Linked DNA regions of Canis lupus familiaris. The protein of the gene in region 1 interacts with the protein of each later gene in a pairwise test. Links are inferred from orthologs where the notes say so. Each region holds a gene or a part of one and is shown in the gene's direction. Other genes may lie near its edges.

Region 1 (4,102 bases):
CTGGCATTCCGGCACCCCAGCATCCCGGCATCCCGGCACCCCAGCATCCCAGCACCCCAGCACCCCGGCATCCCACCACTCTGGCACCCTGGCATCCCAGCACCCCGGCATCCCAGCACCCCGGCACCCCAGCACCCTGGCATCCCAGCACCCTGGCATCCTAGCACCTCGGCACCCCAGCACCCCGGCACCCCAGCATCCCAGCACCCTGGCATCCCGGCACCCCGGCATCCCGGCATCCCAGCACCCTGGCATCCCGGCACCCCAGCATCCCAGTACCCTGGCATCCCGACATCCCAGTACCCTGCATCCCGGCATCCCAGTACCCTGGCATCCTAGCACCTCGGCACCCCAGCACCCCGGCACCCCGGCATCCCGGCATCCCAGCTCCGCGGCATTCCAGCACCCCGGCATCCCGGCACCCCGGCATCCCAGCACCCCGGCACCCCAGCATCCCGGCACCCCAACATCCCGGCATCCCAGCACCCTGGCATCCCAGCACCCTGGCATCCCAGTACCCTGGCATCCTAGCACCTCGGCACCCCAGCATCCCAGCACCCTGGCATCCTAGCACCTCGGCACCCCAGCACCCCGGCACCCCAGCATCCTGGCACCCTGGCACCCCGGCATCCCGGCATCCCAGCTCCGCGGCATTCCAGCACCCCGGCATCCCAGCACCCCGGCACCCCAGCATCCTGGCACCCCAACATCCCGGCATCCCAGCACCCTGGCATCCCAGCACCCTGGCATCCTAGCACCTCGGCACCCCAGCACCCCGGCACCCCAGCATCCCGGCACCCCCCCCCCCCCCCCCCCCGGCGCACCTCCAGCCCGGGCTCCCGCGGTCCGTGCGCGCAGCCGGGCCCACCTCTGGGGCACCCATCACCGCCGAGCGAGGCGCGTGGGAGGTCGGCCCTCCGCGTGGGGGTCCCGGAGCGCTGTGCTTAGTGACCGGGTCAGCGGCGGGGCCTGGGCGCGGGGGCGGGGGCGGGGGCGGGGGCGGGGGCGGCCGGGCCCCTCGACAGGGCCGGGGCGCGCCGACCACCGGGGCCGGGGAGGGCCGAGGGCCCCTGGGGCGCGCGGCGGCGGGAGGGCGGGCGCGGGCCCCCGCGGGAGCGCCCGGGGCTGCAGGTGCGGGGACCCGCCTCCTCGGGAGGCCGCGGAGCCCGGGGCGGGGGCGGGGCGGGGGTGCGCGGGGCGGGGCGGGCCGGACGCCTCCCCGCGCGAGGAAGTCCCGGCCCCGCGCTTTGGGGAAGTGCGGCCCGCGCCTGCGCACTGCGGCCCGCGCCCCCTCCCCGACCGGCGGCCGGACCTGTGCGCGGGGCTGCGGCGGCGGCGGGGCCGGGAGCGCGGCCGGTGAGTGCGCGCGGGGGGTCGGCGGCCGGGGGGGGCGGCTGGAGCCCGGACCGCGCCGCCGGGACCGCGGGCCCACGTGGACCCGGGCGGCGGCGGGAGCGGAGCCGGTGCCCCGCGCGGGGGGAGGGGGCGCCGCCACCGGTTCCCCTTTCTGCAGCTCGGAGCCCGGGGAAGTGATTGCTCAAGGGGGGGCCGGAAGAGCCCCGGTTTCCGCGCCTCCCGCCCCCGGCCCGGTGGGGAGGGCCCGGCGGGACGCCCTGCGCGCCCCCGCCCCGCGCCTGGCAGCCGCTCGCTCGGGGCTGGCCGGGCTGACCGGGGCTCCCGCCGCCTCCACACCCCGCGGAGGGCCTCCCGCCCGCGGACCCGGGTCGCTGCAGCGCGCCCTTCGGCAGCGGGTGGGGCCCCGCGGGAACCGGCCCTCCCGCCCGCGCCTCGCCCCTGGGCCGATGGTGAGTGGGGCGCGCGGCCAGGCCCCGGGGGCGTCGGGCCCGAGTCGGAGCCGCGCCCCCCGGGCAGACCCCGCAGCGGCGGGAGGAGGAGGGAGACGGGTCGGCGGCACCGCGGCCCTGGGGGCGGGCGAGGGTCCCCGGGCCACAGAGGTCGGGCCCAGGCCGGGGCCGCCCCACCCATCGCTCGGGGCGGGGGCGGGGCGGGGGGCGGCCGAGGGGAGGCAGGGGCGCCAGAAGCAGGGGAAGGAGCCCCTGTCAACCCTCCGCCTAAAGGTTATGGCATTTTTTTCTGGGATTGTCACATTTTCTTATTCTTTTTTTGGACTGGGCGGGCTCAGGGACGTTCTTTTTCCTTCTGTGGAGCAGAGTAGCAGCAGCTCCCAAGGGAGCCTCGGTCCCCAGAGGCCAGGCTCGCTGCCCGTCCAGCCTCCCCCATCCCAGACTTGGGGGCCAGAGCCCAAGGGCTGGGAAAGGGGACCGAGCCCCTTTCCAGCTGCCAGGCGGAGGGGCAGGAGCCCTGTGCACACCCCGGGCGACCTCAGGAGACAGCGGGTGAACAGGAGACCCCGCCAGCCCCGGGCCAGTGTAGGCATCCACTCCAGGACCCCCAGCACGTGGGCGCCCTCAGACCTGGCCCCTCCTCCAGTTCAGAGCAGAGCCTTGGGGTGCCAGGGAGTGGAGGGGGATGGGGCCCTGCCCCCACTCGCAGCGGGTAGGGGTGCGGAGGAGGAAGAGCAGTTCTCTGCCTGGCTACCAGACCTCGGGGGTTGCCACACCCCTTCCCTTCCCTACAAGCTAGACCCCTGAAGGAAAGGCGGGCTGGGGCCCAGTTTGAGGGTTCCCCGTCCATGTCCATGATTTCAGGGGAAGCAGGCAGCTGGCCAGGGCCCTCAGCCCAGGGGACCCCACACTCTGCCCTAGATCTGGGTCACGGCAGGGCCTCTGCGTGCCCAGGCCCCAGAGGCAAGGGTGCCCTGAGCGTGCCTGAGTCAGGCCCTGCACCTCTGAGCACGGCTCCCGGCGCCCCCGGCATCCCCGCCGCTCCCTCCTTCCCACCTGCGAGACCCCAGCAGCCAGCAGGCCACGTGGGCCAGGCGGGGGTTGAAAGGCCACAGGCCCAGGGGTGATGTGATAATTACATGAGAAAACGAAGTGAAAGCAAGTCCTGAGCCTGCTGGCCACCGGGACGGGGGTGGGGGCAGGCCTGGGGGGTCACAAAGGCTGTGCGGGGGTGCAGCCGGGCCCTGGGGTCCTCACCCCGGCCAGGGCAGGCAGAGGCAGGTGCTGTGGTGGGAAAGCATTCAGACTGCCCCTGGGGCACTGATCGGCCACCCAGGTGTGGACTCTGGGATCCGCATGGACTCTGGGATCCGTGGTTGGCCTTGGGGACGGAAGGGGGGGGCTGGGGGGCTGCTCGGGCTCCTCACCCCCGCTGGGGGCTTCAGGGCCCAGTGCCCCCTGCACGCCTGCACCTTGAAACGTGGGCACAGGCATTGTAAACAATGCCGACCCGCACCCCGTCTGGGGATCCCGCACCTTGACCCTGGGAGCTGGACACCCCGACCCATTGCTGCCCTCCTCCCCGCTCCCCTCCCTGACTGGCACCCCAGGCTGCACTGGCTTCCACCGCCTGGTGGGGCTGGGGGAAGGGAGGCTGGGAGGCCCTGGGTGTGGTAAGGTGCCCGCTGGGGGTTGGGGTGCCAGGGGCAGCGTCTGGGCCTCAGGAGCCCTGCATCCCCCACGAGGCGCCTGGCCCTCCTCACTGTGCCCTGCTGCATTCCCCACACCCCCAGACCCTCAAGTCCTGCCCCACACGCAGGCTGCAGGCTGGGCAGCTGCGAACAGGCTGGAACCCTCCGGGGCTGAGGGCAGATCTGGGCACCTGGGGGGGGGCAAGCCCTCCCCACCTCGCCCACTCCCTACAGAAAACCCAGAATGGAGGGAGCATTAGGCTGATAGCCCCAGACTCTTGGGGCCCCCCAGGCCCCTTGGGAGGGGCCAGGAGCCGGAAACCAAGAAAGAGGAACCCAGACTTCCGGCTTCCCAGGGACCGAGCAAACGGGGGTGTCCCAGAACCTCCTGTGGAGATCTTGTCTGGCTCCTCCTCACCGCCCCTGCCCTTGCTCGCAGTCCCGGTGCAGGTGGGGGCAGGGGAGCAGGCCCCTCGGGCTCCTGGGCGGAGGGAGAGGCAAGTAGAGACTGTCGTCTCAGGTTCTCAGCGGGAACCCCCACCTCTCTTCTCAGACCCCCAGGCTGTGGTGAGGGTCCCGGAGCCAGCACCACGGAGCCCGGGCGAC
Region 2 (3,968 bases), on another chromosome or scaffold:
AACAGGGGGCTGTGGGTGGCCAGCTCCCTTCCTGGCTTTGTAGACCTTCTTGGTCTTTGGGCTGGGGCGTCCTCGCCTCATGGTAGTGGGGCCACACAGGACATATTTCTCTGTAACCCTTGGCAGACCTTTCACTGGAAGTCCATTAGAGGTCAGGGCTCCCTTCCTGAAGAGGATCAGAAAGACTGCAATGTTCTGCTAGAAACGCTGCTGGCCTCCGTCCACCTTTGCCCAGCCATAGGGGTGCAGCCACTGTCCAGTGGGGACAGGTCATAGGATCAGCGCCACTCATCTATCCAGAAATCAGGTAGACCTTTCTTTTCCCCACCCCCCACCTCTCTCTCTCTGGGCCTGGTTGCCATGTCCCAGGCTAGAGTCCCGGATGACTACAGGCAGGAGGATGCTTCCCAGATCGATGAAGGATATTTAAAGATTTGGGTGAGGAGAGGAGGCACCCGGCTGAGGGAGACAGCTGGGCAAAGGTGTAGAAGTGGCAGCAGACATTTTTTAAGCTGCAAACCGAGAGAGAAGAGGTCAAACCCGCCTTAAGACAGAGAAAGCCGAAGTTTAGAGAGGCTCCGGGGCTCTGAAGATCCCGAAACAAGTTTATTGGGTTCATTAACTTTAACAGGACGAAGACACGCCTCCTCCACCCCGCTAGCCCAACTTGCTTAAGCTCGAGGGTTGGTTTCTGCCCAGCCAGCGAGGTGCCCCGGATCCCCACCCTCGGGCTACAAGATCCGCCCGCCCCCGCCGTCGGGCCGCGGAGCGCCGAGCGCTCGGCACCCAATCGGAGCCCAGCCCCGCCCGCAGCTCGCCCCGAGCCCAATCCCTCTGGGCTTGGCTCCGCGCCTGCCCCTCTTCCTCCGCGCGGCTCCGCCTTCAGCCCGGGCCCGGGTCTGGGCGGGGCCTAACTGCCATTCGCTCCGCCCTCGAGCCAATCAGCGGCCCCGGTTCTCCCCTGGCCCCGCCTTCGGGCCCGCCCCGGCCCAGTCCCGGGCCTGGCCTGCTCCGGCCCCACCCTCGGCCCGCCCCGCCGTCGGTGCGCGGCGGCCGGGAAGGCGCCGCCCGCAGACGCTCGGAACTGCCGACCCGAGAGCTACTCGTAGAGGCCCGGCGGCGGGAGCCGTGTGGGTCGGGCGGGGCCGAGCCGGGCCGGGGGCCGTGCGGGGGCCGGGCGGCGGCCGGGCCGGCGGACGGCGGGATGGGCTGCACCGTGAGTGCCGAGGACAAGGCGGCGGCCGAACGCTCCAAGATGATCGACAAGAACCTGCGGGAAGACGGGGAGAAGGCGGCGCGGGAGGTGAAGTTGCTGCTTTTGGGTGAGGCCGCGCCCTGCTCTGGGACCCCCGATTCCCCGCCCGAATCCCCAGACGAGGACTTTGACCTCCAGACTAAGGGCCTTCAAGTCCTGACCTCACCCCCTATACCTGGACTTGAACTCCCAGACCCCGCCTGGCCAGGACACCCAAATAATGGTTCAAAACTCTGGGTTGGCCTAGATCTCTGATCGGAAGCCCAGACTGTAGATCAGACCCTCAACTCGCAGACGCCTAACCCCCAGACCCAGAACCTGCTTGACCATCGACCCTTGCTGACCAACCTCACAGACCCTCAGAGTCCCCCTGCCTTGTCCTTCCATCCTTCTCTAGACTTTACTCAAAAACCCAGAACCCCACTTGCCCCCACTCTCAGGCACCACCTGTTTCCCCCACCTGCTCACCTTGTTCCTATTGGGCATAAATATCCATGGGGCCCCTGCCAGCCCCCACCTCCCTCCTTCCCGCTCTTTGCCCCATCCCTACTCTGAACCCTGTATCCTCCACCTGTGCACCCTGACTCCAGGGTACTTCTTCAGTGGAAACTGTGATTGCCCATGAGCCCTCTCTCCTGCCAGAACCCCTAAACCTTTAGATACTCCTCCCTCCATCTGGCCCACCAGGTCGCTCTCTGCACACAGTACTACTCAAACCCCCTGCTTCTCCTCCCCTAAGTCCTTTCCCCACACTTTGGCCTTCCAGATTCCCCCACCCCTCCTGCACCGGTGGGCTGGGCCGGGCCCGGCGGGGTGGTGGGGGCCCAGACTCAGGGGCTGGACTGAGGCTCCACTGGTTGCGCTGGGGGAGGGAATCGGGCCTCAAGCTTCGCGGGGAGATTCCTCCCGCTGGCCGTTTCCCAGTTTCTAAGCCCCATCTGGGCCGGTGAGGGGGGCGTCTGGGGAGTAGGAGGGAGTGAGTATGGAGGAGTTTGGGTTGCGGCGCCTCCAAGGCCAGGGAAGATGGTGGCGGCTTGAGGGGTGGGGGGAAGTGGAAGTGGTGAGACAGCCGACATATTGCTGCCCCGGCGGGCGGGCCGAGGAGATATGTTGACGGGTGCTGGGCTTCCCGCACCCTTTCTGGGCCGAAAGGCCAAAGACTTGGCCTCCGGGAGTCAGGGGGCCTGTCAGATCCTGAGGCCCTGTAAGGGGGAAGTGGCGGACCAGCTAGATGAGGACTTGGGGGCCAGATGGAGTTGGGAGGCATCTGAGGTGGACTTTCACGAAGACTGTGGGCCTGGAAGCTGTCCCTAAGCGGCCTCCCGCCGGGAGCAGGTGCGGTGCCCGGTGGCAGCCTGATTCGGGGGCTTTGGGGTTGGGGGAGAGGTGCCCTCGCAGCAGCTCTGGAGGCTGGACAGTGTCTGTGGGGGGGTGTGGCCCCTCAGCCTCAGAGCCGCGGTGGGGTCCCCGGGCTGTGAACAGCAGAGCCTCCTTGCTGGGGGCCTGGCCGAGGGACAGTGTGTCTCCCATCTGAGCCCATCTGTTGACTGTCCCTGGGGGCCTGGCCTCAGGGGCACAGCCCAGAGGTTTCAAAATGGCATCCGTTCCGCCGCCGCTGCGGGTAGGAAGAGAAGGGGCGGGAAGGGGCGGCGGCCCAGCCTCCTGGGCTGTTTTGCGTTGGGCGCTTGCCTCTTCCTGTCTTTGCTGCGAGTGCGGCAGCACCAGTGAGTGGGTGTCGCCAAGGTGGAGGGCCCGTTGCCGCTGCCCACTGGGCCTGGGTAGGGTCCTTCTGGTATCGCTGTCCCCTGGTGCCCACCCAGGGGCCTCTGGCTGGCCCCTTCTCGGGCTGATGGGCTGAGGAGACGTGGGACTGGGCCATAGGGCCGTGACACAGAGGGCTCCTGGCCCTCTGTGCACCAACCCCATTCCACTAGTCTTGTTCCTTGGAGCTCAGCTCAGGTTTTGGGCCTGGCATCCCCTCCCACACTGGCCCGGCAGCAAGCAGGGGTGCAGGGTCTGGCTCAGCATTTTCTAGGCTGAGGAGTCCACCTCAGCATCCTGCTCCCCCTCTGGCCTTTGCTTCTTCTGTTGAATGGGCTTCCTGGGTTGGGGCCAAAGAGCGCTGGGCCCAGGATGGAGGGAATAGGGGCCCCGTGGAGGTTCCTGTTGGGGGTAGGGGATGGGAACTAAGTAAGGCCTTGCAGAGGGTATACAGCAAGGGGCTGAGAGACCTACCTCTGCCTGAAACTGCCAATCTGCCATGGCTGCCTGGGTAAGGGTCCTGGCTGGCCCATCCAGGTACCGGGAGGTGATGGGAGCCCAGCTGGGGCAGCTTCAGAGTGCTGGGTGCCTGTCCCATGTAGCGGGAAGAATTCTGTCCAGGCAACGGGACTCTTAGGTTGGGCAATTGCCAGCCTTCCCTTCCAGCCAGAACCACGCCTGCTGCCCCACCCGCATCCTGGCTCCTTGCCCTCCTGGGTAGCCCTGCTGGCGGATGGGCACCGGGGGCAGAGGCAGATGTGGTACATGCCATGAGAGTGTTTTTCCTGGAGCTTGGTCGAGAGGGGCAGAGCTGCTGATACCAGCCCTACTTCTGGGACACCCCCACCACCACCACCTAGTTCAACCTGACTGACCAACAGTTCCCAGGTGGGATGTGGGGCCTTGGCTTTGTGTTTTGGGGGAATGTCTCTGATTTGGGATGGGCTGGTGT
Region 3 (4,069 bases), on another chromosome or scaffold:
AAGACTTCAAACGAGCTAAATCGTTGCAGAATGAGTAAAAGCCGTTTTAAACTCTGGGTTGCGAGTAAGCCTGTGCCTCCCGACGCCGCGCTCCCGGGGTGGGCCCCGCGGCCCGCGCCCACAGCCGCGGCCGGGATCCCGGAGCAGGCGCCGCGATGGCCCCGGGGGGCACGGGCTCCCGGACTCCAGGCCCGGCTCTGGCTCCTCCTGTCGTCCCTCTCTCACGGCTTCCTCTCCCACATACTAGGTGCTCAGTTAATGCCTGTGGGTTGGGTGGGTTGGGTGGGTTGGGTCGCAGCAAGCGGGCACTCAGCAGCTGCCCCCACGCCGCCGGCGACGTTCGCTGAGGTCACCTGGGTCCCGGCTGCCGCGGCCCCGGCGCCTGGAAAGTGACCAAGAAGCAGAGCGGCCGGAGCCAAGATGGAGCGGAGGCGGGAGAACCGAGGAGGCAGCGCGGGGCGCGAGCTGGGGGGCCCACCTGCCGGCGGCGCTCCATTGACCAGGAGGTCCGCGCAGCCCGCGCGCACGCGGGGCGGGGGCGGGGGCGGGGGCGGCGGCGGCGGCGGGGAGGGAGGGACGCCCCGGCGCGCGCCCGGCCCCAGGCTCCGCCCCGCCAGGCTCCGCACGCGCCCACTTCGCGGAGCCGCGGGCCGGGGGCCGCCGGGAGAGGGGAGGTCGCGCCGCGCGCGCACGCGCGCCGCCGCCGACTGACGCGGGCCCCGGCGCGCGCCTCCCCCGCCCCCCAACCCCGGTCCCGGGGGCCCGGCGCGCGGCCCTGCTGACGTCAGCGGGCGGCTTGCGGTGCGGGGTGCGCAGAGCCGCTGGCGCACTCGCGCGCTGCGCTCGCCCCCTCCCCCGCCCGGGCTGTGGCGCGCGCGCTCGCTGGCTCTCCCTTCATTTTTTTCCTCCCCTCCCTCCAGCCTCCCCGCGTCTCTCTCTCTCTCCCCCCTCGAGCTGCCAGCTGCCCGCGGCTCCCTCGCGCTCCTCTCCCTCTCCCGTAGGCTCCACCGAGCGATGCGAGCTTTGGGAGACAGCGACGCCGCCTCCCGCTAGAGACCTGCCCCCCGGCCCGGCCCGGCCCCCTGCCCAGCCCTGCCCTGCGCGCGGGGGTCGGCGAAGGCGCCGCGGACGCACCGACGGCTGAGGACCCGCGATGCACATGCACTAGCAGCACCCCCTCACTCGCTCCCTCCACACCCCGCGCCGCCGCCGCCGCCGCCGCCGCCGCCGCCGCCGCCTCCTCCTCCTCCGGCAGCAGCGGCAGGAGGACCCACCCTGCCCCCCACCCCACCCTCCGCCGGCTCCGGCTCCGGCTCCGGCTGCGGCTCCTGCCTCAACTATTATTTTATTTATTTTGGGTCGTGCACAAGCCTCAGTGCCTGCAGCCCGCGCCTCCTCGGACCGCGGGCGCCTCCTCCCTCGGCCCCGGAGCCCCAGACCCCGGCCACCTTCGCCTCGACACCCCTAGAGCCCGCCAGCTGCCGCCAGTCTCCGCTGCTGGGATCTTGTCCGCGGCTGTCTTTTTGGGGGGTTCTGGTTTCCCGACATTTTTGTTTTCAGCCAAGGGAAGGATATCGTGGTTTTTTTGTTGTTGTTGTTGTTTTGTTTTTGGTTTTTTTTTTTTTTTTTTTCCCCACTGAGCCCAGGCTCTGCTCTCTGGGGGGGTGGGGGGCGCGCCGAGCCGGGGAGCCGTGCCAGCCGAGTCGTGCGGGCTGTGGCAGGGAAGGGGCCACCATGGGATGTACTCTGAGCGCAGAGGAGAGAGCCGCCCTCGAGCGGAGCAAGGCGATTGAGAAAAACCTCAAAGAGGATGGCATCAGCGCCGCCAAAGACGTGAAATTACTCCTGCTGGGTAAGGACCGGGGCTGCCACCCCCATCTCGCGACCCCGAACACTCCGCACCCGCCTCCGCCCGCTCTCCCACCCTGCTCGTGCCTGGGGAGACCTGGTCCCCCGGTTCGGTCCACCCTCTCGCATGCCTTACCCACCCTCCCTCCCCCTCCGTTCCCCTAAGCTGACACTCACCAGTTTTTCCCCCGGTCTGTCCCAACAGGGGCTGGAGAATCAGGAAAAAGCACCATTGTGAAGCAGATGAAGTAAGTCCCTGTGGCATTGGGATTTGTACTTTTATTAATAATTTTTTGTCATTTGTATTATCTTGCTCATTCCACATTGCTCTCCAGGCCTGGTTTCTGATTCATGCGCGCGCGCGCACACACACACACACACACACACACACCTGGATTTGATTCCCCTCCCCCACGCCCTACGTTGGTTCTGGGTCCTCCACCCCAACTCCCGGGTGGGTGGTTTTTCTTTTTTTTTTTTTTTTTTTGCAGGGGGGGGGGGAGGGAGGGAAGTGGAGCGCCTGTAGTTTGTATGAATGACAGTGTCCGCCATATTGATCAGAACATCACACTATTGGCATGATTCTAATCATTACTCTTGCTCCTTGGGTGTATCACTACCTCCATTATTGTCTGTTTCATTCTGTATTTCTCTCTCCTCCCTCCCTCCACCACCACCACCACCACCACCACCCATTCCACATCCATAATCCCACTTGCCCCTGCTCTTCTCCTGGGGCAGTGATTTTGAACTTGGCTAAAACATGGAAGGGACCCAGCCCTAGACTGGGGTGGAGGATCAAGTGTCTGCTGTTCATGGATTTGGTGCTGAATTGGGAGGTTGTGGTTTCTACCCCCCCCCCCCCCCCCCCCCCTTCAGAGAAGCACTAGGGTTAGGGGAAGGGGTATGTGGTAGGGGAGAGGTGGGCTTCCAAGCAGATATTATGACTGGCACAGCAGTATCCAAGGCAGAGGTGGACGGGGATGCTGGTTGAGGCTGAATGCCCAGCCCTTGTTTCCCCCCTCGTCGCCCCCCCCCCCCAAGCCTTTGCTCTCCTGACACTCCCTGGCCTTTATCAATGTATTTATTTACACTCTGCATAGGCCATCTTCCTTATAAATCTACCCTCAATGCGGATTTCAGGCCCCACTTGCCAGCCGCCCCCTTCTGCCTTACATATCAGTTTCGCCTCCTAATTAACTGGGGGTGGATTTGAGTGATGGTTGAAAATTAAAACAAAATGGGATATTCCTTCCCTTCCACACTTTGTCGGTTAGGAGCCTCGCCCCTCCTTCCCACTCTTGAAGCTTGCTTCTTGCCCCATCCACTCCGCAATTCCTGGCGAGCCCACCAGGCAGCTTTGCTTGGGAGGGGGTGGCCTGTGGGGAAGGGGTGTGTGCCCTCGGGGCCTCCTGGCCCTGCTGCTTCCGTTGGCCTGTCAGTTCGGGACGTTAAGACCGTTTAGCGAGGATTCCACGTCGCTTTGCTGTGACACCTTCGTGCACACACAGCTCCTAATTAGGGGTTGCTGTGCAGTAAACAAAAATGATTATTTTTCAGCTTGACAGAATAGCTGAAGTAATTGCATCCCGTAGGAAAACAATGGAAAATAAAAACCCCTTTCGCGGAAAGGTGGGTGGGAGACAAAACATGCTTGCGGTTTCAGAACCAAGATGCAAAAAAATCTTGCATGTGTAACAGGCATGACAAGCGGGTTCTAGGCGGCGCCATGATGGTAGGGAATAGCGACTCGGAGACAATTTCCCCACGTCTGCTTGACATATTCTTATTTTCCTTCGAGAGCTCCCTGGGGCTTGCTTTGCAGAGGCCCCCTCGGCTCGCCGCACCCCTCTGAGCCACGGGTAATTTGGCCTGGGGCTCCTCTAGAGCTTGTGCAGCCCAAATGGATGGGGAGGCGGGGCCTGGGGAATTGCTCTTTGCAACAAGGTGCATGTTGCATCTGCCTGGAGCCCTTGCGGGTCGGCAAATGCAGGCAGCGCCACCCCTCTCTCCCAGAAGGGGATGTTTCAAAACTTCAGGAGTCTGTAATCTGCAGTGGCGGCCTCGGAGCCGGCTAGAAGCCCCAGCCACCGGGCTGAGTGAGGTTTCAGGCGTTGCAAGTGGTGGACAGCGCCCAGCTGAGGCCGGAAAAGTCGCTGATGCTCAGCTCGGAGGCGCTCGGCTCGGTGCGGACTGGGCGCGGGGCTCGGAGGGACTCGGC

Evidence for each region.
Region 2: the proteins of RGS19 (region 1) and GNAI2 interact in a two-hybrid assay, tested with the Homo sapiens proteins (2 studies listed by BioGRID and IntAct). The link is inferred for Canis lupus familiaris from reciprocal best matches to the Homo sapiens genes RGS19 and GNAI2.
Region 3: the proteins of RGS19 (region 1) and GNAO1 interact in a two-hybrid assay, tested with the Homo sapiens proteins (2 studies listed by BioGRID). The link is inferred for Canis lupus familiaris from reciprocal best matches to the Homo sapiens genes RGS19 and GNAO1.

The regions. Positions count from the first base shown.
Region 1 is NC_049245.1:48,362,424-48,366,525, reverse strand, and holds the start of RGS19 (regulator of G-protein signaling 19), read left to right. Parts: upstream 1-1,302; 5' UTR 1,303-1,356; intron 1,357-1,682; exon of another isoform or gene 1,683-1,802; coding exon of another isoform or gene 1,803-1,805; intron 1,806-2,128; exon of another isoform or gene 2,129-4,049; 5' UTR 4,050-4,102. UniProt on the Homo sapiens protein: Inhibits signal transduction by increasing the GTPase activity of G protein alpha subunits thereby driving them into their inactive GDP-bound form. Binds to G-alpha subfamily 1 members, with the order G(i)a3 > G(i)a1 > G(o)a >> G(z)a/G(i)a2.
Region 2 is NC_049241.1:39,499,361-39,503,328, reverse strand, and holds the start of GNAI2 (guanine nucleotide-binding protein G(i) subunit alpha-2), read left to right. Parts: upstream 1-1,168; 5' UTR 1,169-1,204; coding exon 1,205-1,322; intron 1,323-1,329; exon of another isoform or gene 1,330-3,904; intron 3,905-3,968. UniProt on the Homo sapiens protein: Guanine nucleotide-binding proteins (G proteins) are involved as modulators or transducers in various transmembrane signaling systems.
Region 3 is NC_049223.1:59,252,595-59,256,663, reverse strand, and holds the start of GNAO1 (guanine nucleotide-binding protein G(o) subunit alpha), read left to right. Parts: upstream 1-1,269; 5' UTR 1,270-1,734; coding exon 1,735-1,852; intron 1,853-2,053; coding exon 2,054-2,096; intron 2,097-4,069. UniProt on the Homo sapiens protein: Guanine nucleotide-binding proteins (G proteins) function as transducers downstream of G protein-coupled receptors (GPCRs) in numerous signaling cascades.